Linked DNA regions of Drosophila melanogaster. The protein of the gene in region 1 interacts with the protein of each later gene in a pairwise test. Each region holds a gene or a part of one and is shown in the gene's direction. Other genes may lie near its edges.

Region 1 (6,400 bases):
GAGAACGAGGAGGACAACGACTTGACTGCAATTAAGGTAATAACTAGCCCACTATAATGTAGCTCTTTTCTGACCAAAAATCCTTTTTTCAGCTTAATTTTAAGGAGGAAAACCTGATAACCACCTCATTCATAGAGACCTATGCCAACTATCCCGTGCTGTATAATCAAGCGTTGCCAGACTTTGGCTCAATAGAGATACGTGCAGATGCCTTCAAAAGAATGGCAAAGGAATTCCAGCCAGTGGTGAAGGCCAACGAAACGGACGTTTACATTGCGGTCAACAAGCTGCGCCGTTGGCTTTACGATGCCATTCGTCGCCTCAAATCCAAGGAACTAATTCAGAAGTGCAGCAAGCAAGAGGTTCAGTATCTGCAAATGTGCAGCTTCTTGCCCGCCAAGGGTTCCGAAAGTCAGGTGCTGTACTGTGACTACTGCGATAAACGTTTCCACGGCGACTACAACCTACGGGTGCACATCGTCAAGGCGCACGAGGTGGGCGACCTACCGTACCTCTGCTCGTTCTGCCCGAGGCGCTTCGACCGCCACGTAGACATGGACCGTCACAAGCTGCGTTCCCACTTCGAACGCAAGTTGAAGTGCCAGTACTGCGAAAAATCGTTCGCCGTGGATACCGACCTAAAGGTGCACACACTAATCCACACGGGCGAGCGGCCTCACGTCTGTGACATCTGCGGCAAGACATTCCGGCTCAAGCTACTCCTGGACCACCACGTCAACGGAGTTCACCTGAACATTAGACCCTACAGCTGCAATATGTGCACCAAAACCTTCCGCAAGAAGTTCGAGCTGGCCAACCATATCAAAGGACATCTGAATATCCGTGATAAGAAGTGCGAGTACTGTGATGCTACGTTCTATGACCATTCTTCGCTTTCCAGACATCGCCGCAGCCACAGATCGGAATGAACTCTCGCCTTGAGGGACATTTTTAGAAACTGCTTTATTTTTTGATAACGAGAATCAGTAAGCTTCATTTGATGTAAATCAAGAATAAACTTACGTTAGAGTAGTGATAATAACAAGCGTGTTGTTAAGCACTTACGGCTTTTGTGTATTTGATAAGAACATGTGTATGATAATCATATGCACAAGCTTTTCCTTTTTCATACTTTCCTTTTCAAAATTTGGTTTAAGGAATGTATTATTCATAAAAAAAAGAAGAAGCCGGAAAAATAAGTTCGTTTTAAGATAAATTTGTATAACCGTTACTTGTAGAGGAGATATTAGAATAACATATGATTTTTTGGTTCTGGCTCTAGATCTAGAGCTGGCTTGAGGCTCTCCCGAGTTTTTGTTCAAAAGTCAGAGAGCGGAGAGCTCTAGAGCTAGCAGCTCTATTATTATTATTTTTGATCAAATGACGTGTACAAAATTTTATATATATTCATTTTTAACAATGTATTTATATTTCTTTTATGAAATATATTTTTTTAAATGTATTTTCCTTTTTGCCAAATTTATATTTTTAATTACAATAGTTATAATAACGATTTAAGACTTTATTTAGTTTATTAGCTTAAATAATGATGAAAATAATTTTTATACGGTACAAGATACTGCTCATAGACCCTTGTTGAAGTATGTCGTCAGTGCAATTTTAAATATTTTTAATTATAAGCAAAAATAAATAAGCGGTATTTAATTAATAACAACTCTTCTTAAAAGAATAGTCAAGGCATTAAATTTTAAATAACTCTGTAGTAGATCGTATTGCAACAAGCTTTGACCAAAACTTTAAATATGTATGTATGTACCTTCGTTTCTGAGATCAAAATTGATTTCGAGACGAAAGTTTTCTAGCACAAGTATGCTCATATACACTTTCTCGTTTGTTGTTTTAACACACACAAGGAAGTACATTCTATTTTAAGAAATTTACGCTCTCCATTTTACGCGTGCGGAGTGAGATCAATTTTGGCCGTCACCAAAAAAGTAACTGCATAGTTGAAAACCAATGTAATGGCCGTTACGCACCTTAATATTCTAGTGTCTTTAAAAAAAGTGTATACTACAATATATTCGATGAAAGGTGTGTAACATGCAGAAGGAAACGTTTCCGACAATATTAAGTATATATATTCTCGATAAGGACCAATAGCCGAGTCGGTCTGTCCCTGTCCGTCTGTCCGTATGAACTACTTGTATTTCCACTGGCTAAGTAAGGAGTATTTGATTGTCGGGGAATTCGACTCTTGTTCCGAATGGGAATAAGTACCAGAATCAGTCAACTAAAAGTAGTGTTTTTATTCCAGCTTAAAATGAAATAGTTTAAAATATATTTAAAAATTTATAATTGATTTAAAAGTTGATTTAACACAACTAATACTCATGTTATAGCAAGATTTAAATTTAAGCTGTATAGTATATATAATTATTTGTCTACATATAAAATATTTTCTAAAATTGAGATGATTTCGTTTCAATGGAATTTCCGCGGGTATCTTCCCAACACTGACCATCCGGTGCTTATCGATACCGATAAATGGCGTTGTTGTTGTGCTATTTGGCATTGTATCTTATTTGTTTGTAAGCAAATCATGGTGGTTTGCGGGAACATTTTGGCCAGGAACAACTTCGAGCACTTTGTTCTGGCGTGTGCTCACCAAAATGACTGCTACGTGGAGATGGAGTTCAAGCGGTGGCGAGAGTTCATCGTGCACGTCAAGGAGCACCTGGAAGCAAATCCAAGCATGCAGCAAGAGCTCACTACTTCCGAAGTCATTTCGTCAGCCAAATGCGAGGAGGAGGTCTCGCCAGCCAAGGTGTTCATAGTGGAGGAGCCTCCGGAAAATTGCCTGGCTGAAGACATGTTCGTTGACGTGCCACCTTCATCAGAGAACGACGAGAGCACCAGCCCGGTGGAGGAGGAGGAGGAAGAAGACGACGAGGTGGACTCCTCCTCGATGACAGTTGACTGCGAATTGGGCACCAGAAACTCCACACACTTTGCTCCTTTAACCAAAGTAAGCAACTGACTACACCAGCAACAAAAACCAACAAATTAAAGCAGACGTTTTGCATCCCGGCAGTTCAATCCTACGTTTTACCGACGCAGTCCTCGGATCACACAGTTCATTGAACTGTATAAGCAGCAGACATGCCTCTGGGATCCAGCGGATGAGTCGTACAGGGACAAGGAGAAACGCGCAAATGCCTATGAGGAGTTGCTGGAGCAATTAAAGGCGACCGTCAATCTTCACCTAACGGCCTATAAGCTGAAGAAGTGCATCACCAGCCTACACGCGCAGTATGCGTCGATCTCGCGGCAGAAGAAAACTCAGAAACTAACCAAGGTTCCACTGTACTACCATGGAAAGTACAGCTTTCTGGCAGAGCGCGGTAGTCTGGAGGATGCGGACAGCGATGATGTCGACGGCGATGGCAAAATAAAGGTGAGTCCGAGTGACAAACAGCTTTCTAAGCCACTCTAATGCGTTCCCCACGACAGCTGGTGTTCACAGAGGAGAATCAACTGACCACACAGTTCATTGATTTGTACTCCAAGTTTCCCCAACTGTACGATCCCGCGCACAAGCACTTCTGCAATCTAAACGTACGAAAGTCATCGCTCATAGAGATCACTGACCTGCTGACTTCGGAGTTTTCGTTGGGCCTGGTCACCCACTACGATGTCTACGACAGTATTCAGAGCATGCGCCAATGGTATTCGCGACGGATCAAAACCCTCACAGACGTCCAATGTGTGGGTCTCTCGCTGGCCGAGAAGCAGTACATCGAGCGCTGCAATAGCTTTATGCCCACTAAATCATTCCGACAGAAGCTTAAATGTGAAGTCTGCGAGCACTCCTTTAGCACAGATCACGCCCTGCAAGCACATCAGTTCCGGGATCATAAGATGGGCGATGGAGGCTGGTTTCGCTGCACGCTTTGCGAGCTGAACTTCGACCGAAAGTGTCACCTGCAGCAGCACAGCCAGCGTGTGCACATGGACAAGAGCTTTGTCTGCGAGATCTGCAGCAGGAGCTTTGCCTTTGGAAATCAACTGGCTATCCACAAACGCACCCATGACGAGAAGCACGTCGCCAAGCCATTTGTCTGCGAGTTCTGCGGCAAGTGTTTTAAGCAAAAAATCCAAATGACAACGCACGTAACTGCGGTTCACACCAAGATCCGAGCCTTCAAGTGCGACATGTGCCCCAAGGACTTCCTGACCAAGCGCGACCTCAAGGACCACGTAAAGGCGCACCTGAACATCCGCGACAAGGTCTGCGAGGTCTGTCAGAAGGCCTTCACCAATGCCAACGCCTTAGTCAAGCATCGCCACATCCACAAGGAGAAGACCCTGCAATGTTCGCTCTGCACGACGCGCTTCTCGGAGCGAGTTAGTCTTGGCGTCCACATGCGACGCACCCACAAGATCCTCAAGAGCTCTCTGTCGTCAAGCGACGCACTCTTTACAAAGACATTCCCTCAGCCTTGAGACATTTCCAAACCATGACAAGTATTTACATTTGTTAATAACCAGAAAATATGGCTATAGTGCCAAAAAACATGAATTTTTTAATGTTCTTAATGTATTATTACTCCTAAATATTTTTTAGTATTGAAACAAGAGATTTTACAATATATTTGTCCAAGCTTGCAAAAATGAAAACAAAAATGTTTAAAATGATTTCTATTATTCTATTCTATTATTCGACATATTTGAATTGTTCGATTTTTAGATAATCCATCTGAATTTTCTTAATAAAGACTACACTGAGCACTATGCATTTGTATGCCTTTGTGATATAGTAACTTGAAAACACAAAAAAGCACTGAATTTTGAAATTGAAGGTGTAATAATACTTATTTTTATATCTAATTTTGGGTTCTATTGGCGTAGCAATTGAGCATATCAGGAGTACATTTTGCCTGCTAGCCAGCAGAGGTTCCTTTGTCTGCCGTTAGAGAAATTTGTCCTACTATGTCAAATGTTAGAATTTATAGCATTTTTTTATATTTATTTCATTAACTTCGGGTAATCAAAATTTTCGAAGTTATCAGCTCACCTATTCTTGCGCTGTGCAGCACTGGCCAACAGCTGTTCGTGTTTTGGTTTTCCGCGACGTGCTCGGTGTTACGTGCTCTGCACCAAGATTACAGACCTGGAGAGGAGAAATGAGCGGACTCCTTCCGAAGTTGTGGCGCCAATGTGAAGCGGGGCTAGTGCGCCGTATCAGCCAGGCACTGATTGGACCCGGCGCCAGTCAGAGCCGGTGGACAGGGACCCGTCTCCTGGCCACCAGTGCGGATAAAAATCCGGCCCCGGGGCTGCGGGAGCTGCCCCACTGCAATGTGGGCACCATTGGTCACGTTGACCATGGTAAAACGACCCTGACCGCCGCCATTACCAGAATCCAGTCACAGAAGGGTCTGGCGGAGTACCTGTCCTACGACCAGATTGATCGGGCGCCCGAGGAGAAGGCGCGTGGCATAACTATAAATGCTTGCCATATTGGGTATTCCACTACAGAACGCACCTACGCTCACACGGATTGCCCGGGTCATGCGGACTACATAAAGGTAGCTCAGCCAAAAGAACCAACCAATGTTCCACCAATTTAACGAAACTTTCTATCTGATCTACAGAACATGATCTCGGGCGCCTCCCAAATGGATGGCGCCATTCTAGTGGTGGCTGCCACCGATGGTCAAATGCCCCAGACTCGCGAGCACCTTCTTCTGGCAAAACAAGTGGGCATCCAGCGCATCATAGTGTTTATAAACAAGGCCGATTTGGTGGACCAGGAGGTGCTGGAACTGGTCGAGATCGAGATGCGTGAGATGCTAAGTGATTTCGGCTTTGATGGCGTGAATAGCCCGGTAATTTGTGGCTCAGCGCTGCTGGCCCTTCGCGAAGATAAATCGGAGTTCGGGGTTCCGTCAATTGAAAAGCTACTTGAGCAATGCGACTCTTACATACCAACGCCGCAGCGCGATATCTCGTCCCCATTTATCCTGCCAATAGACAATGCTTTTACGGTACCCGGAAGGGGAACCGTGGTCGTGGGAACCATCAAAAGGGGCACCATTCCCCGGAACGCGGATGCAGACCTACTGGGCTTCAATCAGAACCTGAAGACAAGCATCAGCGACATCCAGATATTCCGGAAGAGCGTGCCTCAGGCACAGGCTGGCGAGAACGTCGGCGCACTGCTGCGAGGTATTAAGATATCCGCCGTGGAGCGGGGAATGCTACTGTGCGCAACCGGCTCCGAGGATATATCCAACCACTTTGAAGGCTCCATGTATCTGCTATCGCGGGCCGAGGGTGGTCGTGTCAAGCCCATGCTCTCCAAGTATATACAGCAGCTCTTCAGCCAGACGTGGAATGTTCCAGCTAGAATTGACATAGGTAAGTTAAAAACTTCAAT
Region 2 (5,701 bases), on another chromosome or scaffold:
ATTCAGAGGCAATACAAACTGTACCCAATGATCCCGGTCACGTCTTCGTTTTCCTGCTCCAGCCCGATCGTTTGTCAGGTCGTAAATGCTTGGGATATATCTATGATTACGATACTCTATTCCTGGAAACGTTTGGCGACAGGAACTCGGATACATACCAATGGCCAGTAATACCCGACAATTGCTGCCGTGAGGCCATTTTGAAAAGCTAACTATACAATAAACATGTGGCAGCGGGAGCATCCGCCTCCAGGCGCCAAAGACTGCCTCCTCGAGTAGCTCCTGCCCACCGGAGCACGCTTGTTAGTCCACAGGAATGAGGTGGTAGGAACCCCCAGTGGTATACAGCCCCCTCTTGGATAGCCACCCCCCCCCTGAGACCCATTCACTTGCACATTAGGCAGCAAATTGACATCGATACAAGAAGTAAACCAGAAGTGAGTGGAAAGAGAGGGCACTATCGCGTGCGACAGAGAGGAAAGCGTGCAGCATTTAACTGCTGCCAATTTACTGTTTAAATGCCAAACAAAAAGTGTTAACAAGCGCAAAAATAACAAAAGACACCAACAACAAAGTACGCAGAGCGAGAGGGCCCGAGGCGAGCCACAGGCGGCCAGCCCTTGGGCCAAAGCGAGACAGACAGATGTCGTGCCGGCTGCCTCTCGCTCGCACAAACCAGTTTAAGGGGGCGTGGCCTGGCCACAAAACAGGGTTGACAGCATCCCATCCATCCATCTTGCCATCCGGATATCTGTCCATCAGATACAACAGCAAAAGCAACATTAGAAGCAAAAGCAAAGGCGGCAGCTGCCCTGCTGCCATAATCGTGTTGAGTTTCAAGCTGCCATAAAAAGTTTATGGGAAGTCGTATTGAACAGGGAAACCTTCTAAAACAGTATGATTTTGCTACTGCTGGAGGCATATTGCATAAATGTTCTGTCATTCCTGTACAAACTATATTTAGTTGGAAAGTTAGATAACAAGTTATTAGTATATTAAAGATGCATGGCTACATATTTTTTAATAATACTCGCTATTATAATAAAAGTTTACCATTAACACTGTTCAAATTTTGTTTGAAAGCAGCTAAAATAATATGAAATAACCAACTGACCCCTAAGACTATATTTAACCCTCAAAGATAACGAACACGTTTTTGTTCAGATTTATAGAAATCAAATAAGTACAAATAACTTTTTATATAAATTGACAAGACTTAATAAACCCTATTTATTTAAGGATATGAAGTTAATTGCAATACTTTTTGTGCGGTTGTAGTTCGAAACAGCCAACTCCACCACGTGCCATAAAAATAACCGTTAGACGTGCGGCCATTGCCGGCGGAAAGTCACCACACCCGCCAACTTGAGTCCCGCTGATTGAAGCCTAATGAATGTCAATTGCTGCCAATTACGACCAATAAGTGCGGGCAATAAATGTGGGCAGCCGTGGGTGCGAGCGAGAGGCAGTCGCGGGGCGACAGAGAGGGAAACTCACCACACCGCCACTTGGCCAGGTCAATGAGCGAAAAAGAGACGACGACAGGTGGCAGCTGATGGGAAGCGGTGGCTCAACTGGTTTTTGCTGCCTTCTTGTTGTTGCTGCTGTTGCCGCTGCTGCTGTTGTTGCTGCTGCTGCTGCCAGTTGCTGTTGCTGGCAGCAAGTTTCAGTTTCGGTCGAAAGCCAAAGGCGAGCGGTTGTTGCTCCGCTATTGAACATCACAAAGTGTGCGCACCTCAGCGACATTTGCGTTAAAAACCCAGTTGGGCCAAGAAAACATTAACCAACGCAAGAGCAATCGAAAGCGGAGTTCAAGAACTTGTCAAGTTTAAGAAATAAGTGCGAGCAGCTACCAACAATTAACTGAAGAAGTGCTAAAAACTCGCGTCACCCATACATACATACATAGCTGTTTGTTTTTTTTCGGTGCAAAGTGCAGGTGCAGCAGCGGAGTCGTCGGCTAACCACACATGACCACAATGCCACCGGAAATGTCCGCAACAACGGCAGCTCCCGTTGGCAGTGCACCGAGTGCCACCGCTCATCATCCCGCTGCCGTCGGCGGCGGTATGCCGCGTCCAGCTTCCCCGGCCGTCGGCAGCAACACGACGACAGCCACGGCCACAACGGCGACGCGATCCCGCTTTATGATCACCGATATTTTGGCAGGAGCCGCGGCCGCATCGGCGGCGGCAGCAGCAGCGGCGGCCGCCTTGGCAGCCGCCTCTTCCGGCGGTGGGCGTGGCAGTCCGACGGACTCGGAGCGGGAGCAATCGCTGGTCGCCCAGCATCACCACCATCACCAGCAGCAGCAACAACACCATCATCACCAGCAGCAGCAGCAGCAGCAGCAACATCAGCAGGCTGCCCTGCAACAGTACATCGTGCAACAGCAGCAGTTGCTGCGCTTTGAACGGGAAAGGGAGAGGGAGCGGGAGCGGGAACACTATAGGGAGAGACATTCGCCGCCTGGCAACAATCCCTATGCCCACCACCCCATGCCGCCCCATCTGCTCGCCCACTTTCCGCCCGCCCACTACGCCGTGCTGCAGCAGCAGCAACAGCAACAGCAGCAACAGCAACATCCCCACCCGCATCATCTGCAGCTTGAGAGGGAACGATTGGAGGCACTGCATCGGCATGGCCACGGGCTGACCGGTGATCCTGCCCAGCACTTGAGCCACTTAAGCCACCTGAGCCACCAGCAGCACCATCCGCATCTGCATCATCCCATGCACGATGAGCGATCCCGGTCACCGCTGATGCTGCAACAATTGGGCGGTAACGGTGGCAATAACAACAACAATAACAACAACAGCAGCAGTGCCAGTAACAACAACAACAACAACAACAACAGTGCTAGTGCCAACAGCAACATCATCAGCGGCAACAGCAGCAGCAGCAACAACAACAATGGCAGTGGCAACGGCAACATGTTGCTCGGAGGACCCGGCAGCAGCATTAGCGGCGATCAAGCCAGCACAATCGACGACAGCGACAGCGATGATTGCGGTAAGTCGCTGATCATATATCATAAACATACAATGAATCTGTATAGCAATATGGTTTAAGCTGTATTTCAAGGATAAGGCTACATCGGGAATATATAAAGTATATATATATATATATAGCAGAAATAATTAAGTTGCTAACTAAAGGAAGAGACTAGTTCATGAGACAGACATACAGATTCAGATGGATCTTGAAGAATAGCACCAAGTGCGGAATATATGTATATGTATATAGACACTTTATTGCAATATCAAGTAATATGAGAAGAGCAAAGCGGGGATACATATAGAGAATATATATATATATATATATAGCAATATGATATTTGTGATATTTCAGGGACTGGACTGGATGGGAAAGTGAAATCTAATGAACAACTGATATTCAAAATAGCAAGAAAAAAGAAAGACAAGATATAATGCGAGATATAAATGTTTCAAAATACCAATCAAGGCTTTTTTATACGTGTTCCTGACGTACAAATTAAAAGCAATCAAAATCTAGCTAATATATATGTATTTAAGCTCTAGTAAATTTGCATAGAATATTAAAGGAAATAAAGGAAGCTAGTAATTATAGTATACAAATTGCCATTAAAACCAGTTCTATTTATAAACTTTACCAAAGTTCAGCTGTATTAGCTATTTTATTAAACGAAAAGGGCTTTTATGGCTATAGAGAATAGAAATTATTTCATAGTATGCACACCAATAAATGTTAGCTGATAAATTTGATTCGGTTGGTATTAATTTGAAACCCAAACGGTGGACTTTTGTTTATACACTGAAGGGGATCTCGAAACCAATTTACACCTATCCATCTGACCCCTGAGTTCGCACCACTTTAAATTTACGATTTTCCCCGCGACCGGGATATATCATATATTGAGTGCTAAGCGTGGTTGTTTTTCCTGTTGTCTTTGTCGTTTTTGTTGTGGCTGTTGGCTAATAGATAACGGCCAACAACAACCGCACCAACAACCACCGTAAATTGTGCGGCTCGAACGGGGAAAATGCTGGCTTGATAGGCGAAGACTCGAAAAATACAGGTGAGTTCGAGTCTGAGGCAGGTGTCTTAGGTTTTGTCTCTCACTCTCTCTTTCTTCCTCTACCTGTATATGTCTCTCTTTCTGTTTTTTCCTTTTCAATCCCCCCCCCCCCCCCTCAACTTATTGGCCAGATTAGCCAAGTGTTCGCTTATTTTCAACATATTTCCCAGTCAAAACTGTCAACAGAATACCCTTGACTGCCACGCCCCCCGCGTGCCGTCAACCTTGTTTTGCATGCAACAATCTAATTGATTTTGTTGCCTAGCTTTAGTTTTGCTTTTTTCCTCTCGTTAAGTGCTTTTAAACGATATGCAAATTATAACAAATTACTATTAAATAGCCGTAATCGTGCGTTTGCAATTGATTTGCAGTAATATAATTTAGAAAGGCCGAGAACGTGCACAAATATATATGTATGTATTTGAAAGAGCATGGAAATCAGAACAAAAGGTCAGAATGTTGAGTTTGCTACAAAAGATGTGTGTGTGTTTTTATTATAGATTTTTTACGAAATCCCAAAGGATGATAAAAATGAGTTTCCACTATTTTTGGATAACTAAAATGCCGAGTAATTTTAGTTATTTTAATAATTGCCCGGTCTCAATTCAGTTTTTTTTTTGTTAACGAGAAATTATAAGCCCCTAAGCAATTTTGTTTCAATCAAAGCTTCCCCAATTTCATGGACAATTTTCACATTTATATGTGTTTTTTGACTTGTGCCAAAATCAATTACCAAATTAAACTATAACCAAAAGCGGAGATTTCTCCCTCCAAGTGACCCCCTTCTGTTTTGACTTCCCGCTGTCATTTTTCCAAACCGAAATTGCCTTGACTTGAGCCACAAGCCAGGCCGTGCCACACACACGCAGATAAATAAAAACACAAATGAAACTGAAGAAATCAAAATCAAAATTTAATTTAATCTGCTGGCTGGGCAGCCGGACAACCCACACACAGTCTCCTCTACAAAAAAAAAAAAAACACCCATTGGCATTCTCGCTTTCTCTCTCGCTCTCTTATGAAGAACCCACGCTGAGAAAAATAAAAAAAAGAGTTATACAAGGAAGGCTATTCTCAAAATATAACATTTCGATGACGTTATTTAAAAATCAGAAAGCTTATAAAATATTAGGTTAACGGTGGACATATTATCCTCAAAAAAAAAAAAAAAAAATTTACAAAGCAGTTATTTTGTCCCAAGACTTTAGTTTAAAAATGGAATAGAAAGAAATAGCTCGATGTGCAGCGAAAGAGAGGGATATGTTAATGTACTCAGTACTCGCGTGTCACTTGAGACGCGTGCGAGCGACAGTTGTTGCTCATTCGTGCGCCTCCTCCTTCTCCTCGTCTTTGCTCACCTCTTTCTTGATCTTTCTCTTCTTTTATCCTTTTTTACCCACCTTGGCGTTTTTTACGAGGCTCAAACGACGATCCTTGCTTCGCACCGCGTTTGAAATTGACCCAAAAGCTTGTTCTCTGCCCAGCGAACCGTACACTGATCGAAAAAAGGGGGGATATCGAAAAATTATCGGTGAGTCTGGATGGTGGACGGGGTAACTCTTGCCACTTCAATGCCTCCATCGAGTGCTAAAAAAAAAAAGAAAAGACGAAAAAAGTTTCAATATTGAAATTGATATTTTC

Evidence for each region. Proteins that work in one complex are often made in the same cells at the same time.
Region 2: the proteins of az2 (region 1) and B-H2 interact in a two-hybrid assay, tested with the Drosophila melanogaster proteins (one large-scale study listed by BioGRID).

What each region holds. Positions count from the first base shown.
Region 1 is NT_033778.4:7,508,856-7,515,255, reverse strand, and holds az2 (az2), read left to right. Parts: upstream 1-2,506; 5' UTR 2,507-2,560; coding exon 2,561-2,986; intron 2,987-3,052; coding exon 3,053-3,415; intron 3,416-3,471; coding exon 3,472-4,464; 3' UTR 4,465-4,634; downstream 4,635-6,400. Other genes in the region: CG1603 (uncharacterized protein), read left to right, coding at 1-36, 93-929; mEFTu2 (mitochondrial translation elongation factor Tu 2), read left to right, coding at 5,145-5,549, 5,616-6,381.
Region 2 is NC_004354.4:17,312,900-17,318,600, forward strand, and holds the start of B-H2 (BarH2), read left to right. Parts: upstream 1-1,681; 5' UTR 1,682-1,970; coding exon 1,971-3,012; intron 3,013-5,701. UniProt on the Drosophila melanogaster protein: B-H1 and B-H2 are regulated by members of the wg signaling pathway; wg and dpp. B-H1 and B-H2 are coexpressed and functionally required in R1 and R6 receptor cells and primary pigment cells for normal eye development.